3 linked regions of the Caenorhabditis elegans genome follow. The protein of the gene in region 3 purifies or fractionates together with the protein of the main gene of each other region. This does not show direct contact. Each region holds a gene or a part of one and is shown on either strand. Other genes may lie near its edges.

Region 1 (6,557 bases), on a different chromosome or scaffold from region 3:
GGGCATGTCGCTCAGTATTTCAGTTTCGTTTCAAAACGGAGCTCCTCAAAACTTCCAAGTGGTGAGATTTTGAAGAGAAAGCTTTTGCGGATACACTCTCAGAACTTTTTGCCAATTTTGGTCGTCCGTTGTTTCTCGCAAAACGGCTTTTCCTCCGGCTTTCTTCTGTTTCTTCCACCAAATTGGACCTCTTTTCTCTTTTCGTCCCTGCGTTTCGTTTCCCGTTACTTTTTTCCCAAACCAGCCACGTCGTCGTTGCGCCCCAAGTCCTCCCAAAAAAGCGGTGCGATGACAACGTGTGTGCTCGGCGAGCCCAAAGGCGATTTTTGATTTTTTTTTAATTTTCAGTCGGCTTACCCAATGTCTACTTTGTCTTATTCTAACACAGTCCACGATGGTAGTAAGCTAACGAAGAAAAAGAAGAAGACAAATGGAAATTTTGATCCACGGAACAAACGGGAAGAAGTGAGTATTTTGGCACACAAAAAAAGCGACGGGGCCTAGAAAAATCGGAAACTCGGCCAGCTATTGATATTCCGCAAGAGTGCACAAATTTGTTTAATTTCTAAAGTTTTCCGGAGCAAACCAAAAAAATTAGAAAATTAAATATTTTTTGTTTCCGTTTGCACGGATTTCTGGCTTCCTTCATAAAAATGGAAGAGTTTGCCGAACTAGGCCATTTTGGCTCGGTCATATCTGGGGTAGATTTACGGCGCGTTGCGTGTCGCGTCGCGGCTCGATTTTAGTTGTAAGACTAAATATATTTGTCCGTGTGGAGTACACGACTTTCCCACGCGTTGTCCGTCTGGCGATTTTCAATGGAGCGCAAAAAATTCAATGAGGAAGACCAGAACCCCGGGATTAGCCTGGAAAATGTTCTCCTCGAGGAGTACACGAGCTGCGTAAATCGACACATATATCTATAGATGCGTTTTTTTTTGATTTTTGACTCAAAAAGGTAAAAACCGAAAATTTAGAAAGAAGTGTGCGCCTTTAAAAAGTACAGTAGTCTCGAAATCTTGCACTTTTCCTATTTTCAGATGTTTTTTGTATTACTTGAATACAATTTTTTCTGAAAATGTGTATTTCGCAACATATTTGACGCGCAAAATATCTCATAGCGAAAATTACAGTAATTCTTTAAATGGATACTGTAGCGCAGGTGTCGATTCACGGGCTCGATTCTATTTTCGTTCATTTTTTCGTATTAATTAAATTTAATTTAAAAAAAAAAAAAAAACGAGCCCGTAAATCGACACCAGCGCTACAGTATCCATTTAAAGAATTACTGTAGTTTTCGCCACGAGATATTTTGAGCTTTAAATATGTTACGCAATACGCAGACTTCTCAAAATTTTGTGTTCCCATAGTATATGACTTTATAATTTTATCAATTTTCACAAAAAAAACTTTAAATTTTTAAAAGAAACAAGAAAAAATTAAAGAAGCCGAAGCTGATTGCGAAATAGCTATACTTTTTAAAGGCGCATGCATCGTTTCATAAAATATAATTTTTTTAAATCGTGTCGAGACCGGTTACCGTACTTTTGCGTCGAAAATTACAACATTTCGCTATTGGATAATAGGACTTGAAAGGCAACCACCTAAAATTTTAGCTAAAATCGGGGGAAAAAAAACGAGATTTTCTGATTTTCCCAGAAAAAATCTCGACTTTAGATCAAAAATATTTTTTTTATTACAAGTTTCAGTTTCAGTCTCCAATGTGGCTCATGGAGGCGTGTGTCAATCCAACAACTGCCGGCTCACGAAAATGGCTAACAGAATTTCTGCCGATGGCTGCTCAGCTTCTTCTCGCCGACCGGCCGGCCTACATAATTGTTCGAAATTCGTGGAATCCCACACCGTTCGACCATTATCCATCGAGACCTGCCACGTCTATTCTGACGACGAGTGCCGGTAACGACAACAGCATCTACGTTTCAACGGATGCAAAGATCTGGACAAGTCAAGAGATCCGAGCCACCGTCGAGGACTGTGACTTTGCATCCGGAAACATGTGGTTCTACATCGGAGCTCCACGAAGTTCCGACGAACTTTTCGAAAATGTAATCGATCCACTGTTGCAGTGGAATCGTGCACCATCTGGCAGTGGTGAACTTATTGGGAGTGCCGAAGACGCGTTGGCACTGCTGCATTGGAATGCTGCAGGAGAAGTCGCCGTGCTTGGAGCTCGAGAGCTGAAGGTATAAAGGATCTTTGACTGCACCACACTTATACATGCTTCATTGCAGAAGTTGGCTAGCCGTCTCGGGATTGTTATCGAGAATGAAGACGCGATGGTTATCGACTGTCTCGAGGAGGACTTCTCTTCCAATGCCGCCACCGCCACATCCTCGGACGAACCAGAGGTGCCACGTAGAATTCCGATATTCGATATGTTCTGGGTCGGCATCGCGTTAATTATCCTCCAATTGTTGTACTTGTTATCGAAATTCGACTTTTTCCGGGAATGGTTCGCCTAAAGATAATTGATAAATAAAAACTAAAACAGAAGCACAATAAAATTCACATTTAAGTTTATGGATAGGGCTTAGACAAAAAAAAGAGGGAAGCAAATATATAAAACTCTTTTTGAAGGGGGTGATTTGGGTGGTGGATAGGGGGAAAGGATATTTTTTCACAACACAAATTATCTATTTTCGCGGAGAAAAAGCGTAAAATCGTGGGGATGTACATTCACACAGACACACACATTCAAAAAAGAAAATAATTTAGGTTACGACGTGAATTTGGGGGTGGGTGAAGGAATTTTTTATAAGGGGAGAGAAAAGACAGCAGAAGAAAAAGAAGTGAAAATCAAAAAAAAATTACATTAGATAAAATTTAGAGTGATAGGAAGAGGGGTTGCATTAGAAAATTTTCAGTGGAAAGAAACAAAAAAATACGACTAAGAGCTTGATGGTGAAAGAGTGCCGAAGAGGGGGGTATCACAGAGATTATCGTTTCGATTAACAACATCCACCGCTCTTCTTGTCTTGAACCGGTTGACTTCCCGTGATACGCACACCTGGAGCACCTCCGGCTCCTTGAACTGGTCCCATACGTGATTTGATTTCCGAAGCCATGGTAAGGAAGGCCTGAAATGTGATTTTATTTTTTTAAAAATCATTTTTAGCCCAACAAACCTGTTCAACATTCGTCGATGACTTGGCGGATGTCTCGAGGAACGGGATTCCGAGTTGTCCAGCATAATCCTGGGCAGCTTGAGTCTCCACAGCTCTCTTCGCTGTCAAATCGCATTTGTTTCCGACCAACAGCTTGTTGACGTTCTCACATGCGTACCTATCGATTTCCTGAAGCCACTGCTTCACGTTGTTGAATGTCTCCTGAAAAATGCTCATAATATTTATTGTTATAAGCTTTTTAGGAAAATAAACTAACTTGGTCAGTGATATCGTAGACAACGATAATTCCGTGAGCTCCGCGGTAGTAGCTCGATGTAATTGTGCGGAAACGTTCCTGACCAGCAGTGTCCCACTGAAAAATAACTGTTTTAAAACGAATTCGCCATTTTATTTGGTTAAACTCACGATTTGAAGCTTGATAGTTTTGCCGTCGAGCTCAATAGTACGGATTTTCTGAAAATTACAAAATCATAATAAATAATTTCGACGGAAATACTGAAAACTTACAAAGTCAACTCCGATAGTGGAGATGTATGATTCAGTGTATGTGTCATCGGCGAAACGCAGCAACAGGCACGATTTTCCGACGCCAGAATCTCCGATGAGGAGGAGTTTGAAGAGGTAGTCGCTGAAATTGGGAAAAAAATTGTTAGAAACCGAATATTCTTCTGCCGCAAACTCACTATTCAGGGTTCATTGCTGCCATCTCCTTTTTGTCGATCTGATAAATTGGAACCCCCTGAAAAATTATAAATTGCGAATTGAATAAAGCATGAGGAATCGATGCGAGAATGAGGAAAATGAGTGTCAAAAAGGATTGCGAAAGTAAAGATGAGAACGGTGACAAATCATATGACAAATCGGTCAGCAACAGGAGACAACGTGTATAATTTATTGATCGCGGTGCGGTTTGTAAACAAAAGAGAAAGCAACGAGAGAAAACCGGTTTTATCCAGACGAACAGTGCAAGAAAACCTGACTCTTTTATCAGTAAAAGAATTTTTCCTGAAAGGAAAAATTCTAAAATTCCACCGGATCAGTTTACAGACTCCAAAGCTAGAAAATATTTCGCAAGACTTTTTTATCGATAAAAATTACTTTTTCGGCATAATTTCGACTCTGATCACGCCAATAGGCAGATATTAACATCAGAAACACAATAAAGAACGTCTGGAAGCTTTTAAAAAGTCGAAAAATGGATAAAATTAGCCAGGAAAAGCTGTGGAATCGGGAGAAATGACGTGGCGAGGCAGAGAGATGAATACCCCGTGACTGCGGAGCGGCTGCGGCGCAACGCGTGCGATGGGGCGCACATGCATTATTGAAATAAAAACATGTTTTTATTGAATTTATTTGATCGAAAATACATACCTATAAATATATAAATAATATATAATATAAATATATAAATAATACGAATTTTATCTAATTTTCTGAATATCTGAAAGCATAAAAAGAACTTCACTATTTGAAGATCCTTTCCAATCTAGGAAATAATCAGATTAATCTATTGATTTTGCAGATTTTTTCCACAGAAGCTACATATGGGAGTGAATTCTTCACAAGTTGCACAAGATAGATTAAGGTGCGTAGTAAAAAATAAAAATAATTTATGGAAATTTTAAACTTTTAGTCTCACTTCTACCAGTCAAAACTCCCCGAGAAACGGTTTGCGGAGCGCTCGAAATGTGTTGAGAGCAACTTCGCGACTCAAGTTTTCGTTCAAAGTAAGTTTTAAGCACTCTGAAAATATCAAAAACGGATTTTAAAATCCGAAAATACGATATCCGGTCTCGACACGACAAACTTTTGTTAAATGCAAATTAAGTGTGTGCGTGCGCCTTTAAATCCAACTGTAAAAACTTCAAACTTTCGTTTTTTTCCATCAATTATATATTACGGGAACACAAAATTATGAGAATGCGTATTGTGCAACATATTTGACGCGCAAAATATCTCGCAGCGAAAACTACAGTAATTCTTTAAATGGATTGTGTAGCGCTGGTGTCGATTTACAGAAATCATTAATTAATCGATAAAATATTAAAAAAAAACACAAAAATGACAAAAAAAAATCATTGAAGTTGAAAAAAAATCGTTTTTAATTTTTAAAACTGTAGTTTTCGCTACGAGATATTTTGCGCGTCAAATATATATTGTGTAATGCGCATTTTTAGAATTTCGTGGTCTCGTAGCGAAAATTACAGTAATGACTTGTGTCGATTTACGGGAGCGATGTTTGAAATTAATTTCTTCTAGTGACAGCGAAATTATTTTCCAATTTTTTGCTTAATTTCGAAATTCATTTCAAAAATCGAGATCCCGTAAATCGACACAAGCGCTAGAGTAGTCATTTAAAGGATTACTGTAGTTTTCGCTACGAGATATTTTGCGCGTCAAATATGTTGTTTCGTTCCCATAATGTATAGTTTGAAGTTACAGTACTAGTTAAAGGCGCACACATTATCGCATTTGGCAAAATATTTGTCGTGTCGAGACCGTCCAACTTCCGCGTCACCAGGAGTACTGGCTTTCCTCATTTAATTTTTTGCGCTCCATTGACAATCGTCCGCCGGACAACGCGTGGAAAAGTGTTGTGTACTCCACACAACGAAAATCGAGCCGCGACGCGACACGCAACGCGCCGTAAATCTACCCAAGATATGGACGAGCCAAAATGGCCTAGTTCGGCGCAAACTCTTCCATTTCAATTTTTAAGTTAAGCCAGAACCGCGTGGCGTCGGGATAAATAAATTAAATAATAAACGACAAATCTTTTGCAGAGAAAATCTTCCACTCGAGACCAAATCCGACCGTTCGAGGAACTCATCAAAAGTTGGCCAGTTCAAGATCTCAACCTTCTTCTAGCAGAATTTGAAGCCGATTCGAAGCTACTCGAGTTTCAGCGACTATGTGATAATTCAAGAAAACCGACAAATTCTTTCCTCAGAGACTTCGAGAGCGGGAGAACCGTGTCAGGAAATCTGAATATCTTATTCAAATTCACCTCAATTCGCGCTAACCGCGCATTCGTTTCTCAAAGATGTACAAATCTCAAAATCTCGGCAAACTACGATGAGAACCCGGAAAACTTTGATTTGTGCGAGCAAAAATTTTTGAAATTCGAACAAGACGCGGTCGAGATATTCTTGAAATCGTACATTTATAACGAACAATGGCCGGAAAACTTGGGAAGTGAGATGCTCGAACAACTGTGCACAGATTTTGGATGTTTTAAGAAACTTGAAGAAGATGTGAAGCATATGTACAAGCAGGATCTGAAGCATGGCGACTTGATAATTGAAGTTGTCGACGGAAGTGAGTAGAATAGTTTTTTAGTTTCTTAGCCTTGGGCTTAGGCTTAGGCTTATCAATAGGCTTAAGCACGGGACTATGTTTAGGTTTAGGCTT
Region 2 (6,165 bases), on a different chromosome or scaffold from region 3:
TGGAGGTCTTCTGGGATTACAAGTCTCTTGAACCAATGTTCCATCTCCGTCGTGAATTTTCAAGAAATCATTAGTGCAAGTTCCCATATCAAAAAGATTTCGGTAAGCGAAAACTCGTGAAAACCCAGGAGCTATTCCATACTCCACTTCATTTCTCGGCAGAAGTCTGCGGAATGAACGATCTGAAACTGAGCGACTTTTCAGGAAATAATATATAAATAAACTCACAATGCATTCCCGGCCCATTGGCACTAAATCCAGACTTGACATCATATTCATCAAACGTCAGTTTCAATACCATATCTCCACTATATGATCCATTGCTAAGTGTTCCATTAATTTTCCATGTGCAATCCATGTTTGGCGGATACAAACTACCGTAGTTGGGTGATTCAATGACACCAGAAAATGAGAAATCATTTGAATCGTTATCGATTTCTGCTCCACATTCCCTATCTGGTGTGGTGAATTTGTATTTTAAAACAAATCCACGGATCGTTTCAAGACCCGCATCACTTTGTAGCATATTACTGATGAATGCAACTGTGAGGAATGGTCCAGTAGTTCTAACGACTTGGGATTCAAGAGTAGATGAACATGTTTCAAGAATACGATGTTTATCATATGTAGCATAACCATCGTATATTTCCAAAGAGTTTTGATCGCATTTTTCAATGTCTTTTGAATGCATTGAAACTGGAGGAATAGTGACTTCGATTATTTTCCCACCGGGAGCCGAAATAAACCATTCACAGACAATGTCTTGGTGGTTTTGTGGGACGGAGATTATTCCTTCTGGTTTTGAGCTACGGTACCCGCATTCTGCAAATAATATACTTCCAATTGAATTATATAAAAATTCCACTAACTTCTTTCAACGGTTTCCCATTTGATAGTAAAAGAACCTTGGGTTCCTCTAAATCTCAGCATTGCTCCTGTTGAAGTCATTGTGATTGGAGTGTCACTCAGCGGTGCGTGAACACTGTGTGAATCTCCACAGAATGTTGCAAACTCAGAAGAACTGTCTTCTGGTCCATCGTATAATGTCAAATTCGCATCAGTTTTGGCACAATCTGTAGGTCCTGATCCTTCTTGCGTAAATTTATCAAATTCTGTGAAAGTCATTACAACTGCAGAGTTTGCAGCAGGAATATTGAAGACGAAATCACATATGGACAGTTCCGTTTTATTCGATCGTTGTAGGTCGAATGTATAATTTCCGCTCGAATGAGTGAAGTGAGAGCCACAGTCTACAAAATGAGTTTTGTTTTTGAGGTTTCAGTCTCTGCTGATGTCTACTTGACAGTGACTGCGCAGTCCCAGAACAACCTTCGGTGGCTAACTGTTACTCTTATTTGTAAGGAGCAGAGAAACCAGTCAAGTTTTGAGCAGGCAGTGGCGGTATCGGTAAGACTTTGGTACAGGCTTTGGATCTAACTTCTGATACTGTAGAATCTTGACTGAAGAGCGTGGCATGGTGAGTCCACTTTTTTAACAACTCTGCCTGTGAAACCTACCAGCAGTTAGATCCAAAATATGTTCAAAAGTCTATACTAAGTTTGCCCAAGGCTAAAGCTGGGCCGCTCCTTGTACAGAAAACAAGCAATAAAAATTTTATTAATGAATTTTCTTACGTTCTTCCTCTTCTTCGCATGCCCTACCAAAGAAGTGCTCTGGACAGTCGCAATAAGCAGAATTTTCAACGGCAATACAAGTTCCTCCATTTTTGCAAGGATTCGTTTGGCACGGTGATGTTTTCTCACAGAACTTTCCAAGAAAACCAGCTTCACATTCACATTTATATTCGGTGTCGCTTGTTGGCTGAAAACTATTTTTTGAGTAACAGTGCTTACTTGTCTTCATTTGTGTTACCTTGCATTTCCCAGCATTAACACAATTGTGGTTCTGGCAAACGTTACTTGCTGACTTAACACATCCTTCCTCTCCAATTCCGTCACCAACATATCCATCTGGACAGTAGCAAGTGTAGTCTCCAACAGCACTGTATCCGTCGTCAGTTACCTTGCATGTTGCTAATTTATGGCATTTGTTTTTGACACAACTATCATCTTTCACACAATTTCCTCCATCGCCGGAGTATCCAGTCGGACACGAATCACAATAATAACTGCCAAGAGTGTTATGACATTTTGAAAGCGGAGAGCATACACGAATTTCACCTTCACATTCGTTGACATCAATACAAACATTTCCATCGGCTGAATTTATTTTACTTTTTGGATTTCAATGACAGATATTCAGTACATTTTTCGACACCTTCAAACTAACAAATTCTGATTTTTCACATTGTTAAGCCGAAGTTTATAAGACTTTCTCTCCTCATTCTCGGAACTGAGAAATCCAAACAAGTATTTTCACAAAAAAAGCTTGAAATTTGTAAGTGTTATACAGGGTAGGCACTTGTTCAGGCGTACGTGTCTACCTCATGCCTACCACACACCTATTGACCTATTTAAATGCCTACTTACCTATTTTATGAAAACGTTTTGGATACGAGTATATATTTTCTAGACAAGAATTAAACCAAAAAAATTATTTTATTTTTGATTTGATTGAACATATATAATTCTAACTTACTTTTATATCCTTTTGGACATCCGGAACACACAAACGATCCAGGCAAATTAATACAATCAACTCCTGGATGACATGGATTTGATTCGCATTCATTGACATCAACACACGTTGGATTGTTCTTATCACTTGAAACCTTGAAACCCCAATCACAAATACACTTGTACGTAGTTGTATCGGAAGATGACTGACCAGTTGGATCCACAATACTCTCAATACAATGCCCATGTGGACCACACAATTCAAAAGTTTTCGAGCAAGCGGACATATGATACTGACAAAGAGATCCATGATATCCGGATTGGCACTGACATTCAAATCCGCCACGGTTATTGATACATGTTCCATTGTTCTGACATCCAGCAGTTGTACCATTGTATACTGAGCATTCATCGATGTCAGCTTCACAAGTTGTACCGGTGAAATGTGGAGGACAAAGACAAGTGAATTTGGCGCCAAAAGATGGGATACATGTGCCTCCATTACTACATTTGTTCGGATCGCACGCGTTTATTGCTATCAATTTGTTGATTCCTCTTGAAAGTTAACAATTTATAAAAAATAGTCAAACCTAACTTGTTGTGTCTTACATGATTTGACGTGTCATTTTCACCAATAATCCCCGTCTCCTCATGTCTCTGGCCATTTTATCAGTTTTCCACTTCTTCAAGATATTCACTTCGAGTGTCATATTTCGAAGCTAAAAATTGATTTCAAAAAGAGAAAAAAATGTATGGAATTACCGCTACTAGATAATGTTTTGCAGAATTTAAAACCACTCTCATTGCAGAAGTCTGCGTGTCCTGGCGACTTTTCAAAGTGGTGAACATTTGAGAAGTGTTCTCAATACGTCCAACAAGTTGCTTGAAAGATGCCTGAAAATTATTTTGAATATTGAAAATTGTAATTCGAGTTAATTTTCAAAAACTTCCATAGTTCAAACATTTTCAAACAATTATTCATTTTGAAAAGTTTTATAAAAATAATAGAACTTAATTATCAAAATTTACGTGACCGTTTCTCAGGAAAGTGATTCTTTTTAAATAGTTGTCAAAAAGTAAATTTTTGCGTGATCTCCGACTATCTAATTCCAACTCTTACTCGTAATCCACGTTTCGTTCCTTTTTCTAATCTGACCGTCTATGTTTTAATCAGTTCTTGAAACATGGGCAAGAAGAAGTCTGATACGGCATCCGGTGGAGCTATTCCAGAAGGAGACAATGAGAAAGGAAAGAAGGTTAGTTAAATTTTTCATTATAGTGTTCCCAGAAAACCTATTGATTTTCAGATCTTCAAACAACGTTGCGAGCAATGTCACGTTGTCAACTCATTGCAAACAAAGACTGGACCAACATTGAACGGAGTGATTGGAAGACAATCCGGACAAGTTGCTGGATTTGACTACTCGGCTGCCAACAAGAATAAAGGAGTTGTATGGGACAGACAAACACTTTTCGACTATTTGGCTGATCCGAAAAAGTACATCCCCGGAACTAAGGTAGGATTTTCTAGGAAGTGCGATGGAGTATTAATAAGAAATTTTCAGATGGTCTTCGCTGGTTTGAAGAAAGCTGACGAACGAGCTGATCTCATCAAATTTATTGAAGTGGAAGCTGCCAAGAAACCATCGGCATAAGCCTCTACTAAATAAGAAATCTGTGTGTTAAGCAAAGCAACGTATCAAAAATAAATGTTTTGTAGAAGCTCGTTCATTTTTTTTTTGGATAATTTCAGCAGTCTACCTACAATATCTGGAAGTTTGGAAACATCTGTTTCGTCCACATATATTCTTCCATTTCCAGTCGTTTTGAACGTTATATTTTTATCCTTTCCGGCATGCAACCACACATTTCCATCAACCATTAGAATACGTGATCTGAAATGTTTTCGGACGTAATTTTGAAAAAAAATTAAAGGATTCGTTACCTTGTTTCATATGAATCTTCGATGTGTATTTCTTCATAGTCAATTGAAGATACATGATTTAATAAGCCGAATAGTATTAATGAAAGAAATAACTGTAAGTTAGGTATCATTTGTTGCGAAAATGAAATGAAATTAATGGAGTTGCACGGTGGAGGGTGAATAATTTGTTTATGTCATTGATACCTGATTGGAAATTGAGACGATCCATTTGTTTATAACAGATTATGTAAGAGAACACCTGCCAATGTTTAGGTTATGAGTAACTAGTGGGCCGTTGAATTTGTGTTCGGTTTTAATGAAAAAACTGTTAAGCTGGCTGAAACTCAGGTATCAAAATATGATGGTGTTGAATACTCTCCAAATAATCGCTCTAAAAAAGTGTCAGGCTGTACAGATATAACAAATGTATCTTATTAATAGTTCAAAAATAATATTTCGTGCAAACTGATTGGTCTGGCATGTGGTAAACAAATAAGCCAGCAGTTGAGATGTAGGCAGGCACGAGGTAGGCACGAAGACAATTCCACTGCTTTAATTGGAAATATTTTCAGGTATTAATCTGCTTTTTCAAAAATATTTTCTTACACAACATTTCGCATAAATTTCGAATCATTTATTGTTTTTTTTTTCAATTATTTTCGTTCGCATAAAGGCAGTGTGAGGAATGAAATCATAATATGAAACAACGATGGGCTGGGCAAGTTCCGTAATACTCTTCTATTTTCTTCCATAAGCATAATAATAGTATGGAGATGTATAATAGTAGTAAGGTGGCTGAGCAGCCACAGCTCCAGTCTGTTGAGTTCCTTGCTGATGATTTTGAGTATTTCCAGATTGATCATATTGAGGCGTGTATTGCTGTTGTTGTTGTGGTTGTTGCTGCATTTGGGATGATTGATCATATTGAACCTGTTGGGTATTTCCTGATTGATCATACTGTACTGGTTGCTGTTGAACTCCTTGTTGGTATTGAAGAGTTTGTTGTTGCTGACCCTGTTGCGTTTGTTGTGGATAATACTGTTGTTGTTGTTGTTGGGTTCCTTGAGCATACTGTTGGTTTTGTTGTGGTTGCTGTTGAGCATAAGCTTGTTGGGAAGCTCCACCAGCCTGAGTTTGCTGAGCAACTCCAGTGGTACCAGCAACTGCAGCGGTTGGATAATAGTAATAGTATGGTGTGTAATAACTTGTTGGATAATACAAGTATTGGGCAGAAGCCACAGCAAGAAGTGAGCAAAGAGCAAGGAGGCTGAAAATTTACGAATGAATGATGCACATCCTACCTAATGATAACATAAATCGTTTGCTAGAAAACTTACGTGTTCATTTCGTTCGATTGAAGTGAGCAGAAATGGTGAAGATTTTTCGTTTGATCATTTTTATACCTTATTTCAATGGGTGTGTCTAACCCAATACTGTCATCATCAGTTGCATTCCGAAAAAAACTGCGAAAAAACTCCACGATTGTATGTTTTTCTTTTATTCCATCCATGCCAACCACAAAGTTACTGAGTAAACTCGAGGTCAAGAGAAAAGAGCCCAATCAAAAGAAATAGTGAGAAAGCAAAGAGAGCAAGACTCTGAGTTTGTTGACTTTCAAAAGGACTTCATTGAGAATGGCAGTTGGCGGCAAGCTAAAACGGTTCA
Region 3 (6,728 bases):
GATGTATGAAGGACTCCATAGAGATTAGTCTAGACTTTATACTACTGATACTATACGTCAAGGAATATGTTTAGAACAGGTTACATCAGGTATATCAAATCATACATGCAAGACGGTTCTTGAAATTTTTAATGATGGTCGATGCAATGAATTCGATGCAAATTATCGGTAAACCCAACATTTTAACGAGACCTTTCCTGGAAATTGTATCTACGGGAAGAAAAGTGTTCTTGATATCTATGTATGTATATATTCCAGAAAATGAATCGGCGGGGAACGTTAATCCTCCGCGGACGCAAATTCTAAGAAAAATATCACCCACATTGTCGAATCTTTTTTACACATTGCATTGTACTTTCTTGGACTTAATCTATTTTTATTCCGTTGCTTGTTTTTATGACACAAAACGCACAACACGTATGGCAAACTGTCTGAAGTGATCGTTTTCTTGACCGGTCTTTGATCGCTAACAAAAATTACTTGCGTAAAATTACATTGTCAGATGTGTCGAGCATTACGAATTTGGAAACTAACATCGAGCATACTGGAAAACAAAAAACATGGTCTGTACAAGAAAAGCTCTATGGAAATGTGTATAGTCAAACTATTGGCAAAAACATCAAGATACTAATAAGCTATGTGAATTACAATTAGAAGAAAACATGAATTAATTCAAAATAATAGAGAATAACAAAATTAATATGATGTGAACATTAAAAAATCTGTCATGCGGAGAAACTAAATTTTTGCAAATTTTCGGCAAGTTCCGTTAGACCGGAAGTGAAATGGATGAATACAGGAAATGATACACGTGTTGAACTCTTCAACTTTTATAAAACATCCGGTTTACAGGTCAAAGAATCTTTACCTACTTTTAACAGGTATGTTTTAAGCCTACACTTATTTAATTTATTAGCTTTCTCAAGTACCAAATTAATTTGAATTTTTTAAACAATATTTGGTTTAAGACATTTTCGATTGAACAAATATTGTGAATTTATCATATGTATGCAAAAATCTAAATCTCTAGAAAACACGGGAAAATTAACCGGATTGAACGTTTCTTTAACAAAGCTAATAATTTATGTGTTATTGTTTTCAAATACAAAAAAACAACTCATTTAAAAACTAGGTGATGAATAAGAAACCAAAAGAAATTTATATTTTTTCAAGTAGTATTCGATTTCTCGCGTCTGGTGTCCACCTCAAAAAAAGCAGATTCGTGTTCAATTTGAAACAAAAAGAAGAAAATCATTCAAGCGAAAATTCAAAATTGAAAACATAAAAAGAGAAACATATATCTAAAACCATGTCAAAGAAAGCTTTTACATGTCATTTTTTAAAACTACTAACGACTAAAAAATTGAAAAGTGACGACACGGCGATAGTGGTTGTTATTCTATTTTTGACGGGTGGAAGACGAAACGAACGAGGACAATTTTGTTGAAGAGAAAAAGGAACGGGCGGTCCGTCGGGAAATGAGTGAATATGAGACGGCTCAGCCACGCCCATTTTCTCTTTATTTATTCTTTGATCCGTCATATTCTTTTTTCAGATATTTTGAGCGGCGATTCTGAAATTTGCAAATTATATTCAATGCCTGATATGCTTGTTTTAAATTTCTGATGCGAATCAACAATGCAAACTCAATTTGAACTATTACACGGTCTTAACTAAGTTTTTGTTCATACAAACGAGGTTTCAGTTACAGAAGTTAAGAAATTCAGCACGATACTTGTAGAAAGTTTTTTAGTGCACCATTGGCAGATTTCTACAGCTCGGTTTGGAAAAGCTGGTAACGTGCCCTTGAAAGCTGTCAAATCAAAAATGAAAACAGCGTCAATTTCAAAAACATTGAACCTTATTCTTGAACTAATTTATAAACTAAAATAGACAATACAACAAGTATGCTGATAATTGGTAAACACGTGTCTAGACTTTAAAATCCCATTAGAAAGGTCGAGTTGTTACCAAGAAGCTTTTAAAGTTTTCCACGCCTCTTGTTTTTGTTAAAATTAAGTTTTGAAGTCAAGCAGAGAAAGGTATAAGTACGCAAAAAAACAATATGACCGTTCCAGTAAGTGAAGATATTTTTATAAAAGTGAGCCAAAATAACCTAACAAGATACATCGATATGTTTCTTTTCAGACTGAAAGTTGAAAGAACGAATGGAAATTCTAGGCACTATTTTGATGAAGCTTGAAAAACGTATAAATCACAGGTGTCTCTTGTCAAAAACGGTTGCTTTACGAGTCATTAAACATTTCCAGGATTGCGTTTATAGGAAAGCGTTTAGAACTGAAAAACTTAAAAACTCTAGGAATTATTCTTTAGTAACATATTTCCTAGTCAATCGAAAAACAAAAGAAGCATCTGACTAAGATTCTGGTCAGATATCTCCCAGTACCGGAAATGAAATCGCTTCTTTTCTCTTCAACTATTCCTAGATTCAGAATCAAATGAAAGTGAATCGAAAAGCAACTCTCCGTGCAACTTCATTTATAAATCAAATTTAGTCAATTGTTGTGCGTGTATAAGAGAGAGTGTGTGAGATGATGGAACAGAAACAAATTACCTACGGATGATGATGGAACAAGAAGGCAAAAGAAAAAACGAGTGAATTCATGGAGGTGGATTGATAGTTTTTAAATAAAATGGAAACCAAAATTTTCTGATAATTTATTTGAAATTAAATTCTCAGTTATGTTTTGAAAAAAAGCAAAAAAAAAAGTTAATGAAAACAAGAAAAATAACACGAGCACTTGATGATGGGTTATACTTGAATTCTGGAATGGAATGTCAAGCAGCACCATTCATACAGTGAAAGTTTTGCGGGGTGGAACGGGGGAATCAGGATTCATGAGCAGTTGGCAGGGGGTTCCTTTGACGATTTATTCCTTGGTGCTGACCTTCCATCCGAGGATAGCCTCTTCTCCGATAGCAGAGACAACTTGGACCAAAACGGATCCCTCGTCCTTCTCATAAGCATCACGGATCTGTTGTCCGAGCTCAGTATCGGGAAGCTTGAGGTCATCCTTTTGCTCGCAGGACTCTGGGTCCATGAGGGAGCAATATCCGTCATCGATGGCCATCAACTGAAAGAACAAGCATATTGAAAATTGAATAAAAATTTAGTGATAGTTTAGCAATATGAAATTTTGGAAAACCTACCAAGTACTCACGACGCTTGACGACTGGAACATCCATGTTGTGGGTGGATGGACAGATATCTTCAAGCTTCTTGCTGGTGAAGATGTCGATGGCGACCATGTGGACCTTAGCGTGACCGTGCTTTCCGGTCTTGGAGGTCGACATTTCGACGATCTACAACTTTCAGATAACTTTTATGGTTACGCAAAGTTGATTTGTCCACATTCTAGAAGCATGGTGCTACGATTGTATGTATACTTTTTTTTTATTCCTCAAATATTTTTTGCAATTTTAAAATGTTAATATTTAAATTAGAACTAAAATTCAAATTAACTGTCTTAGAATTTCCTTCCGGTAAAAGCATGGCGGGGTGTCTCTGATCCGCCTCTTCACTCGCCTCTGAGAATATAAATATCTGGCCTATCTAATGTTTAGACTAACAGTTTTTAGGATTAAATCATATCATCTTATCTGGGTATTTTGTGAGCTAAATAATTTCAGGAGTTTTTTGTTTTGGAATTAATTATCAATTTGGTAAGCTTTCAGTTTTTGTAAAAAACTATGAGTGAATAGTTTATATAACTATATATATAGTTCTTTCATATTTATTGGGTTTTTGTTTGAGAAAAAGTGCTCAGCAGTTTTAAAAAGTTGGCATCACCAAGTTTCAGCCGAAACTTATCCAAGTCATTCATCGCACTTTTTCACAAAACATCTTCTAAGTTTATTTAATTTTTCAACATTTTAAAACAAAGCGAACCTTGCATGGGCGTCCCTTGATCATGACATGCTCGTTCTTACGGAGAGCAGAGCACTGCTTTGGGAATGTGGCAGCAGCTCCAGAGTCTCCGGTGTGGAAGTGCTCGTCGTCGTGATGATCGTCAGACATATTGGTACCCTACAACGCACAAGTTAATTTTTTAAATGATAACAATATTTAAGAATAAATAAAAACCAGAAAAAATATAGTAAAGCGTCAAATACATAGTCCTTAAGAAATGGGGACCTAGATCCAATTTGATAAATCTACTAGTTTTTACAGCCATTTCAAAAAAGTCAGCAAATTGAATGTATCTAAATTGATTTAAACCATAATAACCTAAAAATGATGACAAATAGAAAAAACATCATCAATCAATAATTTATCATATCAACTTAGCATATTGTAGGTAGATACTATATCTAAGACAAAAACCAAGCATTCCCTAATACTTACACAGTTTTGTCTTGAAAATCACAAGAAAACAGTCTGAAACTTTTCAAAAAAAGACTTTCAAAAGTTGCCTAAACAGTTGCGAAGGTCTTACGTAAATACGGTTGAACTCGGTATCCCATCACTGTGTGTGGGTCGCTACGCAGGCAATAACCAACCGCGTGGCCGTCGACGGAGCGTGTATGCACCGGTCTTGCAGGGTTGAGACGGTGGTGTAATGGTGGAGACACTGACAAACATACAATTTTGCAGTTTTGGAGAAAACGGAACATATCGAGACAGAGGAGCGGGAAAATGGAGACAAATAAGAGTTAAGTTGTAGGTTATTGTAGTAGATAAGATAAGAGTTGTAGTAAGTGAGTATACTAAAAAACGGGCATGAAAACAATTTAGATAAGTTTTATTAATTTTAAACATTGAATTAAAATTACATTCATGAGCTGGTTAGTAAATATATTTATTATATATGGTTTACTATATGTACAGTTTACCAATTTGTTCCAGACCTACTAATCTATTGACAACTAGTGTGTCTATTCAATTTGGTAATTATTCAATTTTTCCCTACTTAAAAGTTGAACAAATTTGTTTTTGAATTTATTATAATGTATTAATAATAAAAGCAGAAACAAGTAAGATACAAGTTATTAGACAAGTTATTAGAAGTTATTACACTACAAAAACTATCATAAAATACATTCGTGTAGTTTGAGGGGAAAGGAAGTATATCAAAACATGGTAAGTTAGTTATGGATTGAACCCCCCGACAACCTAAATATTCATGACTTTTACACAACTGTTTTTGTTGCCTCAGCTCCTGCTTAAGTTTTAAAAAAACTTGGATTGAACTGATTATGAGCATTGTAGTCACCAACGAAGATCTCATTAGATGTTGCAGTCTCTACTGAAGCTGCTGAAAAATTTAGATTTATTTAGTTTTAGGATATTTTAGGACATATTTTAGGAAATTGACAAAAACATATTTTCTACGAGCTTTATACTTCAATTGCGTTTTTTTTTTTGGAAAATTTGGCAATTTACCAAAAATTTGAAAAATATTAAATTATCCTATTTAAATTTTCACGTTTTGCTCAACCGCTTCTGGTTCGTTTTTTAAAAATTTATTTCTGTACTTACGATTTCTAAAAATGCCAACTTGTATGAAGACTAATTCACAAAAAGTGATTTTTACAAAAAATGGAGCTGTGGCAACTCGAAAAATTGAAGATCCTACTTCTTTCACTGTGAGTTAGACGGATTTTGAAACGTTTATTTTGCAAACTGAAAATTCAAAAATCAAATGGATTCTTGTTCAGATGTCGTATAATTGTGTGAACAATTATCTTGCTGATGCATCTTGTGATCCTCAAAGAATGACTGTAACATGTTGCCAATCGGAAAATGGAAGGAATTTTGTTTCATTTGCAATCAGTGAAGTTTCTCGTCGAACTGCTACAGAATTAGTCGATTCAAAATATTTTGAAGCTGCGTTCAATTCGGCTGATAATCGGAAATCGCTTCGTAATGCTTGTGAAAAAGCAAAACGATTTTATATGGAGGTACTTCGATCTTTTCAAGATTCAAAGAACAAAGATCAAAGAAAACAATTTTGTAATAATTATCGTATGTCTAATAATTAAAATTGGCAAAAAAGGTCATCTAGATTATACCTGCACGGTGTAGTCAGTTTGGAATTTTATGTGAGTACAGTAAATAGGTTCGGTGCGAGATATCTTACATGTGTACATACTCATATAGTTCCCCAGCTGATAGACCAGAAATTGCGAGAACTTTATATCTTAAAGATGTGCCATGCTTTTCTATTGGTGGCTCATAATAAAGTCGCTCCTTTCTAAAATAAAATACCCGTGCCTCCTGGAAGTCAATTCTTCTGAATACTTAAGCAACGTGCTACTTTGATGTGAATATCTTTTGTAAAAAATAATATTGAGAATGAATAATAGTCTACAGATTAGCTTCCAATTCATGCACGTATCTCTAAATTCTAATTTCCAGCACATTCTCTACCACAATCCATTTCCCCCGAAACAACGTTTCTCGTGTGTTATTGAAAAATCAAAGAAGACAAAGAAAGAGGTATCAAATAAAAGATCTGATGAATTCTTGGTCAGAACCAGAAGAACTACATCAAGTATATCAGTATTGGAAGGTACAATGTCTTTGACTTCAATGTCTTCACATAGTCAACTCTCGACGACAACGCCATCGACTCCGATTAACTTGAAACAGGTGGGTCACTGTAGTATCAAATGAAGTTCCTATATTTGAATTCAGGCAAGCCCTCATCCTAGTCACGTTCCGAACGATTCTCAAATGGTTATTCAAAAAGCTCCAACTCCAGCTC

Evidence for each region.
Region 1: the proteins of iff-2 (region 3) and rab-1 fractionate together in Caenorhabditis elegans (co-fractionation; one large-scale study listed by BioGRID). This does not show direct contact.
Region 2: the proteins of iff-2 (region 3) and cyc-2.2 fractionate together in Caenorhabditis elegans (co-fractionation; one large-scale study listed by BioGRID). This does not show direct contact.

What each region holds. Positions count from the first base shown.
Region 1 is NC_003283.11:1,260,105-1,266,661, forward strand, and holds rab-1 (RAB family), read right to left. Parts: upstream 3,886-6,557; 5' UTR 3,853-3,885; coding exon 3,830-3,852; intron 3,775-3,829; coding exon 3,654-3,774; intron 3,600-3,653; coding exon 3,552-3,599; intron 3,499-3,551; coding exon 3,403-3,498; intron 3,348-3,402; coding exon 3,147-3,347; intron 3,099-3,146; coding exon 2,970-3,098; 3' UTR 2,513-2,969; downstream 1-2,512. Other genes in the region: C39F7.1 (uncharacterized protein), read left to right, coding at 361-465, 1,710-2,204, 2,253-2,483; C39F7.5 (BACK domain-containing protein), read left to right, coding at 4,691-4,731, 4,780-4,873, 5,930-6,464.
Region 2 is NC_003283.11:12,609,813-12,615,977, reverse strand, and holds cyc-2.2 (putative cytochrome c 2.2), read left to right. Parts: upstream 1-3,759; 5' UTR 3,760-3,760; coding exon 3,761-3,832; intron 3,833-3,883; coding exon 3,884-4,093; intron 4,094-4,141; coding exon 4,142-4,231; 3' UTR 4,232-4,296; downstream 4,297-6,165. Other genes in the region: cubn-1 (Cubilin homolog), read right to left, coding at 1-182, 229-822, 870-1,250, 1,635-1,821, 1,873-2,219, 2,599-3,131, 3,186-3,295, 3,339-3,470 and 2 more; ZC116.1 (Prion-like-(Q/N-rich)-domain-bearing protein), read right to left, coding at 5,239-5,767, 5,838-6,010. UniProt on the Caenorhabditis elegans protein: Electron carrier protein. The oxidized form of the cytochrome c heme group can accept an electron from the heme group of the cytochrome c1 subunit of cytochrome reductase.
Region 3 is NC_003280.10:8,556,917-8,563,644, forward strand, and holds iff-2 (Eukaryotic translation initiation factor 5A-2), read right to left. Parts: upstream 4,049-6,728; 5' UTR 4,040-4,048; coding exon 3,911-4,039; intron 3,857-3,910; exon of another isoform or gene 3,775-3,856; intron 3,325-3,774; coding exon 3,172-3,324; intron 3,096-3,171; coding exon 2,892-3,095; 3' UTR 2,665-2,891; downstream 1-2,664. Other genes in the region: F54C9.14 (PID domain-containing protein), read left to right, coding at 5,512-5,607, 5,680-5,922, 6,380-6,613, 6,659-6,728. UniProt on the Caenorhabditis elegans protein: Translation factor that promotes translation elongation and termination, particularly upon ribosome stalling at specific amino acid sequence contexts.